Tribolium castaneum: one gene and its partners. The protein of the gene in region 3 interacts with the protein of the main gene of each other region in a pairwise test. Links are inferred from orthologs where the notes say so. Each region holds a gene or a part of one and is shown on either strand. Other genes may lie near its edges. The genes, in order: Src64B, cAMP-dependent protein kinase catalytic subunit 1, slo and Slip1.

Evidence for each region.
Region 1: the proteins of slo (region 3) and Src64B interact in binary tests that used the Drosophila melanogaster proteins (3 or more experiments, as listed by UniProt). The link is inferred for Tribolium castaneum from reciprocal best matches to the Drosophila melanogaster genes slo and Src64B.
Region 2: the proteins of slo (region 3) and cAMP-dependent protein kinase catalytic subunit 1 interact in binary tests that used the Drosophila melanogaster proteins (3 or more experiments, as listed by UniProt). The link is inferred for Tribolium castaneum from reciprocal best matches to the Drosophila melanogaster genes slo and Pka-C1.
Region 4: the proteins of slo (region 3) and Slip1 interact in binary tests that used the Drosophila melanogaster proteins (3 or more experiments, as listed by UniProt). The link is inferred for Tribolium castaneum from reciprocal best matches to the Drosophila melanogaster genes slo and Slip1.

The regions. Positions count from the first base shown.
Region 1 is NC_087394.1:24,284,890-24,288,455, forward strand, and holds part of Src64B (tyrosine-protein kinase Src64B), read right to left. Parts: intron 1,277-3,566; coding exon 970-1,276; intron 911-969; coding exon 657-910; intron 1-656. UniProt on the Drosophila melanogaster protein: Tyrosine-protein kinase that may play a role in the development of neural tissue and smooth muscle. May contribute to tyrosine phosphorylation of Dscam1, a cell surface receptor involved in targeting of growing axons during eye morphogenesis.
Region 2 is NC_087397.1:21,579,292-21,583,349, forward strand, and holds the start of cAMP-dependent protein kinase catalytic subunit 1, read left to right. Parts: upstream 1-1,249; 5' UTR 1,250-1,578; coding exon 1,579-2,120; intron 2,121-4,058. UniProt on the Drosophila melanogaster protein: Serine/threonine-protein kinase involved in memory formation. Promotes long-term memory by phosphorylating meng and by regulating CrebB protein stability and activity.
Region 3 is NC_087400.1:8,504,239-8,508,500, reverse strand, and holds the start of slo (calcium-activated potassium channel slowpoke), read right to left. Parts: upstream 2,830-4,262; 5' UTR 2,633-2,829; coding exon 2,309-2,632; intron 1-2,308. UniProt on the Drosophila melanogaster protein: Potassium channel activated by both membrane depolarization or increase in cytosolic Ca(2+) that mediates export of K(+). Its activation dampens the excitatory events that elevate the cytosolic Ca(2+) concentration and/or depolarize the cell membrane.
Region 4 is NC_087403.1:3,146,481-3,150,775, reverse strand, and holds the start of Slip1 (E3 ubiquitin-protein ligase PDZRN3-B), read right to left. Parts: upstream 2,835-4,295; 5' UTR 2,607-2,834; coding exon 2,586-2,606; intron 1-2,585. UniProt on the Drosophila melanogaster protein: May selectively reduce calcium-activated potassium channel (Slo) currents by reducing the number of Slo channels in the plasma membrane.

The DNA of each region.
Region 1 (3,566 bases), on a different chromosome or scaffold from region 3:
GGTCTGTCTTCAATGATCTCAGATCATTGTCACTTATCTTGAACATCATTATTTACTGATCAGTGATCAGTTTTATTACCACTATCATTACATAAATAATTGAAAACGTCTGCCAACTTAGCTAACTTAAAAAGCGGGACATTTTCACAAAACGAAATCAAAAAATACGCCAAAGTAACTGGTATTGCTAGGTCAAATTTGACTCAGAAGTTAAATACTGACGCAACCCAAATACTTACACTGTATCTGGAAGAATACATCGCGCCTAGAGAATACCTGGAGGGGGTTGAATTTATCAGGTCTAGACACCTACAGCGATTTGACAATTTGACTTAACTACGGAAAAACAAAACCAGTTGACAGTTAAACCGTATTCGCAGCGTTTTGAAAAATCTGAGACGAAGCGCAAATTTTAAATTTAAAACAACTTTTTTCCCACATTTCTCGTGAAAATTTTGGTCGTCACTTTTTCTCAGTCTATTAAGAATGCAAAGCACAACATTTCTGTATTTTTTCCAAGTAATTAGTGAATTGAATTGAATTTGAATTAATTTAAAACGATCTGGTACCGGGAGTAAAAATACTACTCTCCGTATTATATTTTTTGGGGTGCGATTTTGTACCTCGTTTCGTTCCCTACTCTAGTTTCAACTTACTGGTGTAAGCATTGACTAATTCGACTAAAGTGAGGAATGTTTTGTTGGTGGAAATGTAGAATCCGCCGTTATCAAGCGGCTTGATTTTGTAGTGTTTGACGTGGTATTCCCTGATCTCCTCCCAGTCTTTGACTGAGAGCGAATACCCGTTGGGATTATGCTCGGAAGGACGGACTAGGAAAGTTCCTCTTGGATTTTCCTCGGCGAGGAGAAGCTTCTCGGCTTCCTTTCGCGATACGTTTTCAAAAAACCAGCTAAAAGACAAAGGATGTGACAATTTCCCGTTGTGATAAGAGGAAAAACCGATACTAACTCTTCGCTTTCGACGCTCAATTCGGCCGCTACAAAATTTCCAGGGATGTAGCCCTGGACTTTGGTTATGAGATGTATCACATTTAGCCAATCGCCTTCGGAGTCATCGATGACTTCCATGCGATCGCCTTTCTTAAACGAGACATCGCTGCTGTCGCGGGCCTCGTAGTTGTAAAGGGCCACGACCACGCGGCCCTTTACGGAAAGAGGGGGCCGTGTGGGGGTCGGCCGACTCCTTATTATATCGACATGACTCCGCTGAGGGTCCGGTGTGTAGGGATTGTTGATTGTCAGTCGAGGTGGACCACCTGGAATTTTTTTTTCATTATTTTATGTAGGAGTTTTCGTGACTAGTAACATTTTGGGGCCGCCAAGGTCACCCGATCTGACACCGTTAGACAATAATGATTTACCCAACATGTTTGGAAAATACGAGGGAAAATATAATTTCCAACTTGAATAACTTGTTTGCAGCACGAGTGCAGTGAGTGCTCTTGGATGGACAGTTTTTGTGGCAATAAATTTACAAAGAAATTATAAATAATTATGGGTTGGTTTTTTTATATTATATTATTCGAAAATAAAATTAACTAGACGCCCTCTGGTGATGACTTTTGAACTATGTCGAAAACAGTAACGAAATTTTCGTAATTCCACATTTAATTGACGTCTAGTAAATTGTTTAACAATTTTGCGTGTATAGTGTTAATTGCTTACATTGGAGAGAATCACTTTAAAAGTACGTGGTGGTAAATACTAGCTTTGACTTTGGTTCTGCGGTTTTTCGTGGTGTAAAGTGTTTATTGTTGGAATTTGAAAATGAATAAAAAGTGAAAAAGATTTAAATTTTCATTACAAAGTGTTATCAAACAATTGTCTAATTAAAGACTATAGTAATGGATCACAGCGAACACAAAGTTGGGCTCAAGAAACCAATAAATTAGTGAATTTTAGGTTAGAATTTTTCCACTGATAAAATCATGAAATACTTCGATAAATCAACAAAACTACAATTAAGATTAACAACTGCTAATACACTTAAACGTAAATTATGCCAAAAGGTAGGCTTCTCAATGTCTTTGTAATAATTTTCCAATAAAGAAAGTAAACCAAAAAGTCATTCATTATTCGTGTTTTCCTCGACATCTCCAATTTGTCAACATTCGTTTCTTCCACCAAAGATACAATAATCATTCCGCATAGGCAATGTAATAATTGTGAAGCCTCAAAATTCGTACAACGCTCAAAATATCCGAATAAACATTTTCCCGCCATTTATGGTTACTGTTTTCGACCTAGCTCAGTGGCGCCCTCAACGGTAACTTTACTTCCGAATATTATATTATATATTATATAGGAAATATTGGGAGAGTTGGGACACTGAATGTCAATTTTCGAAATTTTGGTTCATATACGTCGGTTGGAATGTGTAAAAAACAAATTGGGATAGAAATGAGTGGTGTTACACTTGAAATTTGGCGAAAAGTCAAATAAATTTGTCAAAAAACGTTTCCATTTTTCGTCGACTAACTGCGTTTAGAAATGGTTTAGATTGGCAGTCGTCGTCAATTCACTGTTTTTTTTATATAAACTCCAAATTTTAAAAGAGATTTCTTTGTAAATATAAGAATTTTACGTCTAAACTCTTCATCATAAACATTTTTTCCTTAACTTTAAGAAATGGTAATCATCGATGAAAGAGAGAGAAATTGAACCTTTCCTGCCAAGTTTTACGTTTATTATTAACAAGCATTTGGAAAAGTGGATTGACTAAATAATATTATGTACAAAATCTATGAGATTTTGGGAATTTGTCTATGCATTTACAAAATACGTAGGTACTTGAACCCAAAATTGGTTCTAATTTTTAGGAAAGTTGAACCTGTCACTGCTTGGCCGCCTTTAGCATCTACGTGAACTTTAGATTTTGTTTCAAATTATAAAGTTATTGGGAATTCACGATCTTGTTACGTTTTTCATACGAGAACACCTTCAATATCATTTTTTAGAAAATTTAAAAAGACGACAGGAAATATGAAGGGTTCTTGATGACCAATTTTTGGGACGTCTAACTAAAAATTGTGACTGAAAGAAAAGCATTTTTAGCATTGAAGTATGTTTTAAGTTATGTATTTAATATTAAAATAAATATTGAAAAATTTCAGAAATGTGAACATTAATATTAAGAGGTATTCAATTATTTTCTTTTTTTAAATAGTAATCCCAAAATTTCTACGTTTCCTACGTCCCTGGTTAAATTTGACGTAAAATTATGTCATTTTATGCATTTGACAAAAATTATAACCTTTTCGTCATAAACCTCTGACATAAGTAAGTAACAAAAAAAGGAAAGAAATATAGTGGCGGTCAGCTCGATTTGCGTGTGCGTCATCAATTTCATTTTTTCATTACCAACACAAAGCTATAAAAAATTATCAAAAACAATGCAAATTTAAACAGCTAAGGGCTATCTAAGGGTGGTATCCTTTAACATTAATTTACATGTGCACTTCGACAACACCGTCAAGTGTCACGAATTTGTCAAACTGACATTGACAGTAAATTATAGACGTCGTCGAAAGTGTTATCGGTGTTAAT
Region 2 (4,058 bases), on a different chromosome or scaffold from region 3:
AATTAAGCCGATTTTGGAAATTAGTATAGTAAATTTCTAACATTCAGATTGCTTTTGGTTTTTGAATATGAAAGCAAATTCTTTAGTAGTGTCTCACAAAACGACAATCGCAGGTTGCAGCAAAAAATTATTTTCTTGCAATACATTTAATTTTTTCTATTTTTTGAAAATGTACAATAATTATTTAGTTACAATTTGCATTTCTAACCCAAATTAACAAAGTTCAACGACAAAAAGAATAAAACTCATTTTCTAAATTAATTTCAATTTGCTTCAATGAGGTCCTTTTTTTCTACAAACTAATTTTAACAGATAGGAGACAAAGTTTTATTCTAGAAAACTTAGAAAAATATGTTACAATATACAATTACAACGCTAATAGTTAATAAATAAAAAATTATGTAACAGAATTGTGACAAAAAAATGTGTGTAACTGCAAAAAATACAGATATGTTGTATATAACTTATTGGAGATTTGTACTTATTATTTTTATGGCTTTTGTAATTAAAAATTATGTATAATGTAAGAAAGACTTACTTTTTTTTTAAATTGTATGACAGCAATATAGCATATTTATGGTGCATATTTTAGGTTTTTTTTAATGCATATTTTCCGAACCCTAGTTATTAAGAATTAGATCTCTTATTGCAACTATTCATTATTTTAGCTATTAATTTTTTCAAATTTTGAAAAATACATCGCAATTAATCTTGTAGAAATCAAAAAAATATTTCAAAAAATACAGTATTGATTAAATTATAGTAAAACATCCTGAAACTAAAATGAGACGTTTGCGTTACGGTTTAATTAATGTACTCTCAGTTTTATTAAGGACAAACTTTCCAAACAGCAATCTTTTTTTAATATTCTTTGATATTTTGAACTGTGGACGCAACCAATTATACACATTTCTAATATTTAAAAAATTAAAAAAAATTAATTAAGAGTTTTGAATATTGAGTACCTATGTGATTAGTAATGAATGTTGATGAATTTTGCACATATTACGTTTAGAATTCGTCGTAATAGTATTAATTTATGAATAAAATTAATAATGTATTGTTACGAATTATTTTTCAAGTAGGCACTGTCACAGTCGTGTCACATTTGACAGTTCATTGACACTGACAAGTGTTACCTAACCTGTTTTACGATGATTAAAATAAAAATGTTTAAACTTGATTTAAATCTCGCGCATTGCTTGTATTTCGCTTGTTGTCCGCTTTCCCCAAGCATTACCATCCGTTCGGTGGCGTCCTCTCTTATCTCCCCATTAAACCGTGTAATTGACTTGCGAGCGAGTGTCTTCGCTTCAATCCCCAAATGAAGTGAAAATCTGGGCACTTGGTAGCCATTTTATCGTTAGCTCGTTGGTTTTTCGGCGTGTATTTTGAATTTGTGTTGCCCGTTTTAATCAGTGTCTGTGCCTCAATCGTGCGAGATAAACTCAATAATGCGTGTGTACGGATCGTTGTGTTGACACAAACCAAACGCGACATCCGCTCCGAGCTCATCCTTGGTGCTTCAGGCGGTGTTAGAAATCAATCGAAGCCCTGGAAGGTGTCCAAGTCCAAACCATGGGCAACAATGCCGCAACGGCGAACAAAAAGGTCGACTCCGCCGAAAGCGTGAAGGAGTTCCTCGACCAGGCCAAGGAGGACTTCGAGGAGAAGTGGAAGAAGAATCCGACAAACACCGCCTGTTTGGACGACTTCGAGCGCATTAAAACCCTAGGTACGGGTTCATTCGGACGTGTAATGATCGTCCAACACAAACCCACGAAAGAGTACTATGCGATGAAAATCCTCGATAAGCAAAAGGTGGTCAAGTTGAAGCAGGTGGAGCACACCCTCAACGAGAAGCGCATCCTGCAGGCGATCAGTTTCCCGTTCCTAGTCAGTCTGCGGTTTCACTTCAAAGACAATTCGAACTTGTACATGGTGTTGGAGTATGTGCCTGGAGGAGAGATGTTTTCGCATTTGAGGAAAGTCGGACGCTTCTCTGAGCCACATTCGAGGTTTTATGCTGCCCAAATTGTGCTCGCTTTCGAATACTTGCACTATCTAGATCTGATCTACAGGGATCTGAAACCGGAGAATCTTCTCATCGACTCGCAGGGGTAAATAAACAAATGATAGTTATTTATTTTGAGTGGAAATCGGACGCTTTATTTGACGAGTGAAAAAATTCTAACACAAGTCTACATGTGGGGAAGGTCAAGCTCTTTAGGCCCTTTGGTGTTCTGAAATTGTTTCTTATGCCATGAGATCGAAAATTTACTGAATTAAAGCAAGCCAAGGGAAGTGCATTTTTAGCCACACTTCTTTTCAAAACATCGTGTTGCAAAAGACAGTAGATAAGATTAAGAAGATGTCCAGAAATACTGTTTTTATGTTAGCAAATAACCGAAATTCTGCCAATTGAAGATTTCTGTCAGTCTCTTTTTTTTCACTTGTTATTAAAATAGCATTCTACGATGTAGGCTTTTAAACACCATTTTGGTATAATTTAGATGAAGCAAGGAATCAGTTTTTGAAAAATCATAGTCTCTCATTTTTTGACATTTGGCTAAAATTCCGCAGCATGACCTGCTCTAATTCAGTTTATTTTCGATCTCATTGAATTTATGATTAGAGTAGGCTTTGAAAACGCTGATTATCATAATTAATCAAGCTGAAAGTCAAATAATAAAATTTCGAATAGTAATATTCAATTGGAATACATTTTTTCTTTCATGTTGCACTAATTTATTAATTACAAAGATAAAAACCGCCTAATCTAACTATAAATTGAAATGATCGCATGTACAATCATATCGTCGTTTTTGTTTATAATCAACTATCTAAGAACCGTCAGGTTGGCATTATCATAAATAGAGTAATTTTTTTGAATTAAGGTTGGTGTAATTTTTTACCTGGCACATTCAATTTCCAAATTTTTCAAATTGTCTCCAATTTAAAACGCGTACAACAACACATTTAGTTATTTTAGACCACTTTTAGACTAACGAATTAACGATTAACACTAACATCTAATTTTCAAAAATGCCAAATCTGGTGTTCAAAATGTCAAATACAGAATACAGCCAGTTTCAAAAGTGGGTGGACATGAACTTTTAGGATGAAATAGTCTGGTCTTTATCAGAATTTTGACACTGACAAGTGATTATATAAAAAAAAACTATATTTCAGAAAACTACTTTGGGCCGGTTTATAGAAAGCTTTAATTTAATTCGTTTTTAAAAGTTAACAACGCGAATAGACCAATCAAATTTGTTCAATTTGGTCACGTGATGCATTTAATTGCAGATTAACTTAATGACGCTTCTATAAAATATAAAGTTAAGTTGAATTTAATATAAAGTTAAGAAGGTACTGGCAATACCAAAATTCTAAGTAAATAAATAAAATAGTTATGTGTTAGTTAATAAATGTATGGTGTGGACCTGACGGGTTCAGAGCCTCTAACAATATTGGATTTGGTATTTTCTTCATTCTTCACATTCAGGCTGTTCCAACGAGCCGAAAATAGTCCATAACTTGTATTATTGACTTTTTCCTTAGATATATACAGAGTGTCTCAGCTAAGACTTTCGAGCTTAATATATCAGTTATTTGTCAACAGATTTTTATGAAATTTAGAATGCACATATTTTAGGAGGTGTTTTTTCCATTAGGGGCAAAAAATGACATAAGTTAAGAAATGTAATTTTAAAACACATTTCTTTTATTTAAAATTAAGCTGAATTAGTATTGGATTATTAAACCCCGAAAAATAGATGGCTCCACAAAAAATTAACCAAATCGCTCGGTTGATCCAAGAAAAAAAAATTGATTTTGTTGTTAAAAACTAAATCCAAATTTTCAAAATATTTGAATAATCATGCGGCATTTTGTGTCCCACTGTATCAAAAGTGTGTGTGCTGTCAAAAAAGTAAAATTGTTTTAATTTGGTGAAATTACTTTAAAAACAAACAACACTGGCAGAAATTTCTGTGTTGTTGTAAAAGGAAACAATATTCGCCTATGGAAAGTGTCTTTGGACTTTTTGTGAAATG
Region 3 (4,262 bases):
ATAATCGATAAAACTGCTGCAACTAATTTTGGAAGCTGAACGCCAATTAAAAAAAGTATTGTGCCTGCAATTACATGGGCAAATTAATAATTCGACAACATTCTAAAAACAAACCATTAACCCAGAAGCATATTTACATATGGGCTAAATGAGCAATAGCCCAGTGCAGCTTTAATAAATTGATCAAATTTTTAGTTATCGTCGCATTTTTTACTTCTTAAGTTCTTAATTGTTTGATTAATGAGTTTTAAGAAGTTTTTAGTTGTAGCTTTGTGACCTAAATGTCTTTGAAAAAAGTCAACGACAACATAATACTCGTTTTATACAAAAAAAGTCGTAAATATGTGTAGGTTTTTCGTAAAAAAAATTTTTTATTAATTTCAGGGTATTTTTTTAAAAGATATCCTAGAAAACCACAGATTTATTTGGTTTCATTACGAAGAATTTTTTCAGATTTTTAATTTAATTTTTAAAACTCTCTTGAATTTTGGAGAACTGAATTTGCTATTTCGTTCAAATAAAGTGATTGAAAAAATATAAAGATAAATATAAATAAAAATATAAAATATAAATATAAATATAAAGATGTATATTAAAACATCAATATCTAGCAGTTTATGCATTTAACAGTTCATTTAAAGTTTCACAAAAGAAGTGATACTTAAAATTTTAAAGGGTGATTTGTACAGTGCGTTCAAAAAGTCTTTAGATCAACTCTTGCTGTGAAATTTTGAAAAGTACAAATTAAATGCACAGTATTTTATTCAAACGACAAGTATTTTTGATCAGTAAAAATAATAAATGCACAGTAAAAATAACAAATGCACAGTAAAATAACAAATGCACAGTAAAAACAATAAATGCACAAAAAAAATAATAAATGCACAGTAAAAATAATAGATGCACAGTAAAAATAACAAATGCACAGTAAAATAACAAATGCACAGTAAAAATAATAAATGCACTGTTAAAATAATAAATGCACAGTAAAAATAACAATTGCATAGTAAGAATAATAAATGCACAGTAAAAATAATGAATGCACAATAAAAATAATAACTGCACAGTTAAAATAATATTTGCAGAGTAAAAATAACAAATGCATAGTAAAAATAACAATTGCACAGTAAAAATAATAAATGCACAGTAAAAATAATAAGTCCACAGTAAATATAGTAAATGCACAGTAAAAATAACAATTTCATAGTAAAAATAATAAATGCACAGTAAAAATAATAACTGTGCAGTAAAAATAATAAATGCACAGTAAAAATAATAGATGCAAAGTAAAAATAATAAATGCGCAGTAAATAATAGCATCTCAAAACTAGAGAGTGTAGAATTCGCCCCAGCCTGCAAGCTAGCTACTGGGCGTTTATTATTTAAACTGTACGAATTTTACTAAAATACTGAGCGTAGTTTACTTGTCATTTAAATTTTTTACTGTGCGAAAATTATTATTTTTTACTGATCAAAATCGAATTTATTACTGATCGCTTTATTACGACGCAATTTTGAACGTATTTTGATTACTTACGATTACTACGAACTTTAACAGCTTCAATAGAATAAAACGATAATCTATCAATCTAAATTCCACAGCAAGAGTTGATCTAAAGGCTTTTTGAACGCACCGTATTACAAAGTACGACAAAAATCTCTCTGTGTTAATAAAAATTGTTCATTTACGGGGTTTGTACATTTGTTCTTATTCTATAAATTAATCAATAAATGTTGTCTTAGGCAGGGGCGTCAATGGACCTAAATACGCCACTGCATGTTCCTATTCAAAAATGTTTGATTTCATGTTATTGATATTTTTGATTTGACAAGGTTTAGAATAGACTGGTAAATAATTGTCCTTTTTGTAGTCAATTCGTATCAAAATAACCTTTTTCACCTAAATTTTTTATAATGTTGGCAGAGACTTGCTGTATTTGTGTCATACATTGAGGTCATAATGATGCACGTCATTAGTTAGGAAGACGTAATTTACCATAATTTTGTTTGCTGCATGGAGCTTGAATTTATATAAACTGGAAATATGTCCTGGGATTAGCTGAATGAGTTCCATATGTAGGTATATGTTAGCAATGAATGCGCCATCTGGGTCAGACTGTCAAATATTTTCTTGCTCTTCACGACATTTAGTCAAAGTATCAGAATTTTCTTTCCATTATCGATTTTCGATCGAATCAATAAATCGTGTTAACCTTTCCCCAAAAAAGCCGTTGTAATTTGGTGATTTGCCCCCGGTGGGCGTAACTCCCCCATCTTGCGTCATGTCGGCAGACAGCTCGTCTCTTACCAATATCCTTCCGGTGGTGGTCTGTCCCGAAATGAGCTCTCCCGCCCAGTCCTTGGCCTCCGTCATGAAGGTCCCCTCGAACTCCTGCTTGCCCTGCCTGGCGGCCTTCTGCTCCTTCTGCTTCGGGTCATTGGGCCCGTACTGCACCTCCTTGCGGCAGCAGAGGAAGGCGAACAGCCGCCACACCAGCACGATGAGGAGGCCGGCCAGGAAGGTGAAGATGCTCGAAAGCAGGAAGCACCAGTATTTCCTTTCGTCGAGGCATGGGTCCGGGGTGGCGGTGCTGGAGATGGGCGGCTCGGTCGCCGCCTCTTCGCTCGTCATCCCGCGCTAGGCGGCATCCACTCGCGCCACCGTCGTCGTACACTCACCGAGGTGCTCGCATCCGCGACGGAGAGGAGACGTGCTGTCGACGGCGAGCAGCTCCGAGCGCAACTGACGCGACGCCGACGTCGCCCCGCTGCTATACAGGATCATGCGGGAATCAATACGAAGGACGCCCTGGCGGCGTGCGCCGAGACGACAACACAGAGGCGGCGCGCCGCAAACAACTGATCAACACAGACCTACAGCCACTTGACTTCGCGTGGACGCACGACATTTTTCTTCAAGTTTTTTTAACACAGGCTCACTTTACGCAGTGGCATACAGAGTGATTCGGATAAAATAAAGAGCCTGACGACCTGCCGATGCAATCAAAAAAACATATTTCATTTATGCCTTTGATCCAATTTAAATTAGGATTAGCAAGTTGAATCCAAGTTATCAACTTATGTCACTCCGACATTAGCGCAGAGAATGATCATTATTGCCATTCAATTTTCGAGGAATGATAGAGAAAGTAGAGAAGTCTTTTCGGTGTATAAACTACAATACAAGGCGGCCCCTAAGAACTGTCAAAACGATCCAAAAACATGTGTTCCTACTTTTATATATAGCGTGCTCAAAAACTGGCGCACCAACTCAATGGTGTGTGGTAGAGAACTGGTTACATATAAAGGTAAAAATAGTAAAAACATTCTTTGTATTAACGTTATTGATAAATAACGGATTTTAGATAAATGATATGTGGCAACGTTGTCTAACAGTCATAATCGCAATAGAATTTGAGCAACAATAAAAATAAATTATTTTTGAAACAGTTTCCTAGGAAATAATTCCCAGTGTTGGCACATCTACACATTGTGATTTTTTGGATGAATTTTATTTTTTTTAAATTAAAAAAACTGCCAAAATCTGATAGTAAATTTAAAAATAATTATTCATTGTTTTGTTACGGAACGATTACCTGGTATGAAACATAAAATCATAAAAAATAATGAAAACCAAAGAAATTAAACACAATAAGTTTGTAGCTCCAGATTTTTAAAATATGACTTTAGGAATTTTTTCAACATTTTTCCCATAATCTGCACTTGCTTCTCAATAACGTACCACTGAGTTGGTGCGCCAGTTTTTGAGCACTCTGTATATCCCAGAAAATCGACAACGGAGCAGTACCAAATAAAAAGCAAAATGATTAGGAATCAATTTCCCACAAATCTACAGATTTTCCATTTAGAATTGAATTCGTGTATTTTTGGGTATGCTGATCTGATAAAGTTTTGACTTGGGTGCCAAACGCAAGATCTACACAGATCGGAAAAACATACACCCACCATTCACGCACATCATTTGCATGCTAAAATTGATACCCGATACTAGCAATAGCAAGGAAAAAACAACCTTTAGAAAAATTTCTCTGAGAAAAAGATTTTTTAAATATTACCGCTTTAAAAATCTAGTTTGAAGTGCCAGATGAAGGCAGTACAATGGTTTCTGGTTGAAAATTGTTGTCGATTTTGAGATATGTGTAAAAGTATGATCTTATGGATTTTTGATCATTTTGACAGTTCTCAGGGATCGCCTTAAACATTGTTGGGCTTCAGTAGATTTGTCAAAGAATTCAAAAATT
Region 4 (4,295 bases), on a different chromosome or scaffold from region 3:
CGCACCACTATCAAGTATCTAATGGAGAAATTAGATAATTAATTCGGCCACCAAAACCAATTAACCACACATGCACTGCATGGGCATGGGATTTTCAAGTCAATCTTGACATTTGTATTTGGGGAAAATTTTTATTACGTCTAATTGGCAGCCAAAGTGGTTAAACTTTAGCAAAGGGATTCAAACCCTACTTTAATCAAATATTATACAGAAAGGGACCAAGTAAAAAGTTACACTCAACCTAATCAAAGCAAAAAATCAACTAAATCAAGGCTATACATTACACGACTAATGCCATTAATGTGATATGCAAAAGCTCCCTCTTAATGGTCATTCTTTTATTTCTCCACTTCTTTGTTTGGAGAGCTGACAAATTTTACGTATCAGGTTTCTCTCAACTACCTACATCCCGTATCAAGTTCGAATCAAAAATTAGTATTTTTTGGAGAAATACCCAAATTTTGAAAATCAGGAAATATCACAGTCGATGCTTAGAACAAATGTTATGACACCAATATCAATATAGTGATAAACAAAGCAAGTGTGTTTATGTACTCACAACTACGTAAACAGTAAAAGACAAACATGAGATAAATGACAAGATCTTTAATAAAATCTCTAAAACGGCTTGGAAATGAACACAGATAATGCTTGCAATTTTTATTTGTGCAACGATATAAATATTAGAGAGACAATATGAAAATTTAATAGTGCAGATTGCGAAAACGCGCAAAAATGCAAAGAATACGCAAATTGAAGCGGGTACAGCACTCTTATTAGTTGCTTGTAGAGAGCACGTTCACCCAATCTTGAAACAATAAACAATCGAAACTACCGTCTTGATCAAACATAACATTACCTATTGTGTAAAACAATATCAACAGGGTAAACTGCAATTTTACAGCGTTTATTTCATCCGATACTTCTGAGTAAACTACCGATAGTTGTAAAGATATTAGCGGTTGAAAAGGTGAAATATTTTCTACCTGACCAGTTCCATTTTTGAACAATAGCAGGTAATGAATAAATAAAACGGGTCAAAACAGACGGGTAAGGTTAAGTAAGTTACTGCTGTAGCGCTTTTAAATTATTCTTGAGTTGTTTAAAAGACGAGACTAATTTTTAACAAAATTCATCAAGAGAAAAAGACAGTATGGAAATGAAGTGGCACTAATTGAGCTATAAAAATCTCAGTAGCAATGGCTAAAAAAGGTAATAACATCAACACCTATGATTACCATTTTTATTTTTATGTCTCAGTCAACACCTTATTACACGGAATTTTGACATTTATGTGCTGCAACAGTAATTTTACGATCGTTGTTTCCTTTTTAAAATTTTTTTCAAAAGGTAATCGATAACACATCGGTAACCATCAATCGGTAAATTCATCCCGAAATGAAACATTTTCAATGATTAAAACCCCATTAAACGCATATAGTTGTGGGTGGACTGAGTAGTATATTAATTTACGGCCTTTCAGTTGGGAGCAGCTTGGAATATTAACTGGCAAATGGCCTTTAAAAATCGACCAGGCCTTAGTGTGTCCATTAAAAATTTACCAGTTCTGTGGAAAATTAAATGAAACAAATATTGAAATTTCCAAACGAAACAATAGGGATAAACAAAAAAGACGACTAAGGCAACCGCAAGTAAGCGAATCAAGTCAGGAAGTTAGAAATGCATAAACTTGTCATCTTTAATCCGCATTCAAGTAATCAAAAGCATTCCGTGACATTTCACTCCGGGGATCCACCTGAATTTCCCACTCGAAAGGGAATCGAATCGAGGCCGACTAAAGTTTATTTGTTTGAAATCCTCCCACAAATCCTTGTCTCAATACTAGATCCCAACTTCTGTATTTTTAACGATATCGACTGACACTTCTGTAAAACTACCACGAAACTAAACCGCCCCCGCCGAACTTTACCTTATTAAAAGCGGCAAGTTTTTAAAACTCTGCCACAATGGCGCGTAATTAATCTCTGACTAATTGCGAGAATGAATCAATCATAAGTTTTAATCTCGGGCCAACCCCCAAAATTAATGTTTCCGACAATTCGCAAAATAAATGAAATAGATAAACCACGACAAACCCGATAAGCTTCGTTCAAAGTAAAGCACGATTTGGATTTTTGGTTATTCTAATAACAAGTCAAGGGTACCACTCAACTTACGTACTTCTAATTGCTTCAATTACAATTTTCGAAAGCACTAATTGCCGATTTCACATGTGCTTAATGACACTGCAGAACGCAATTAAGCAAATAAATGTCAATTAAAATACAGCTAACTGTACAATTTTGCCAACACATGTGATTAGTTACCGAAAAAATTCAAGTCAGTTTAATAATTCCTGATTGAAAGTGATTAAGTCAAGCGAGGGTCCTTTAATCCGCCTTTAATCACCGAAAGTCGGCAGGACTCGCTCCACACAGGTGGTGGTTTTGAAAAAAGCTGCCTTGGACTTGAGCTCGCTGAAGTTCTCGTGGTCGCAGAAACAATGCAAATGTGTGCGGACGGCGAAGTTTCACTTTTGATCATAGCCGGAGTGTCCTAAAGTTGCGGTGCTCTGGGGCACTTACCTTGAGTATGATAAAATCCATGTATGTTGCGTTCAATTGCAAGCACAAGTCGATCGCATCGGAACGAGAGGCACCGAGACAACGCGTGTGTTGGAGTCCGCAGAGTCGTCCGTGGAGAGCGAGCGCATTGCGAGCACTGAGGCCACTGAACGGCTGCAGCCACCAAAGCTGAGGCACGAATTCCAACTGAGTAACGCCGTGGTTGCGACTCCGTGCTGTACTTGTGCTGCAGTCTGCACCCCAGCGCCCCCCTGCTCTTCATCAGGAATACGCGTTCATTATCTTATATTGTTGATAGCTATGGCAAGGTTCAGGGGCTGCCCGGTCGCATTCCGGATGCCGCGACACGTTTAATTCAATTAGGACTCTTTCGGACCCGCGCCCGGACCTCAGAAGCAATTAACGCACACAATGCCTCACCACCAATCAACATATCAACACACCCAATTTCAAACGTTCGACACCGGGACCACCGGCACAAGCACAACAATAACTCAGACCCTTCACTTCCGAGGGAACTCCGAAATCAACAACACGCCAATAAAACCAACAACAACCGGACTATTGCCGGCGGGCACCTGGACAACTTGCACTTCGGACCCAGATCCCGAAATTAATTTATTGGGCTAAGTGTTTGAACACATAAAAACGTCAAATCTGATGGATTCTGGACGATGTGGGTGTCCACCAAGTGCACTTCAGATCCACATTTTTTCCGGAAATTGCATAACATGCTGTTCTACATGGCTTGCGATTAATTAGATACCGTATATCTCACTTCAGTTGATTATATTTCCACGCCACTTTGTAATGCCATTTTCCACTTTAAAGATTTGGTAGCGGTTGCAAGTTGTCTTTGTGGTGTAATACACAGTGATAATTACTGCAATCTGCACCACTTTGACAAAAAATCTGGATTCAGTACAAAGTTTCTGAAATGGTAACGTCACAGCATCCTGATGACCACTTAATACCTAAGTATTGCTTATCGAAACCGAATGGTAAATACCCTTGATAGCTGTTAATTGTCAGGGCTTAATCGAAACGATGGACGCTCAGGATGGTTATGACAGTAAAAGTAATTATACGTCTAAATCGACTTAAAATTCAATTGTTCCCACTGTGATGTTTAATTAGTTGCCTTGCTAAGCGATTCTCAATATAACCACCATGGAAATGGCGGAATTAGAAGAACATATTTTCGCTCAAATCGTTGGTTTTCGCGTATTATGGTCTGTTCTATACTTTGCATGATTAAAGAATGATGAATGAATTTTTGTTGCATTCTTTCTTTGTCATATCGACCGACAGTCACAACATGCTTTGAATTATAATAAATAGACTAAGCCCGGCTGAATTCAGACCAAAAACTTTCTAGGAGAGTGTTTTTGCACTATACTTTTTACTCCTTCCGTAAAGAATATCGGGACGAGAGCGAGTTAGATAAACATTTCGGGAAACGAATCTATAGTTACGCTAGAAGAATTTTTTTGATTTATTTCGGATGGTGTATATAAAATTTCGAGTTGATTATATTTGTTTAACTAGTCGAAGACATCTGCTCACTTGAATAGACTGGAGTTGTTTGGTGTTGATTTATTGATGTGAAGTGTGAAAAATAATGTACGTACCGTTCTTGGGAGGTAACACTGACAAAAACTACAGTTTAAATTTGTCCGAATTAAGTGGGTCACAGAAGGTCACAATGTC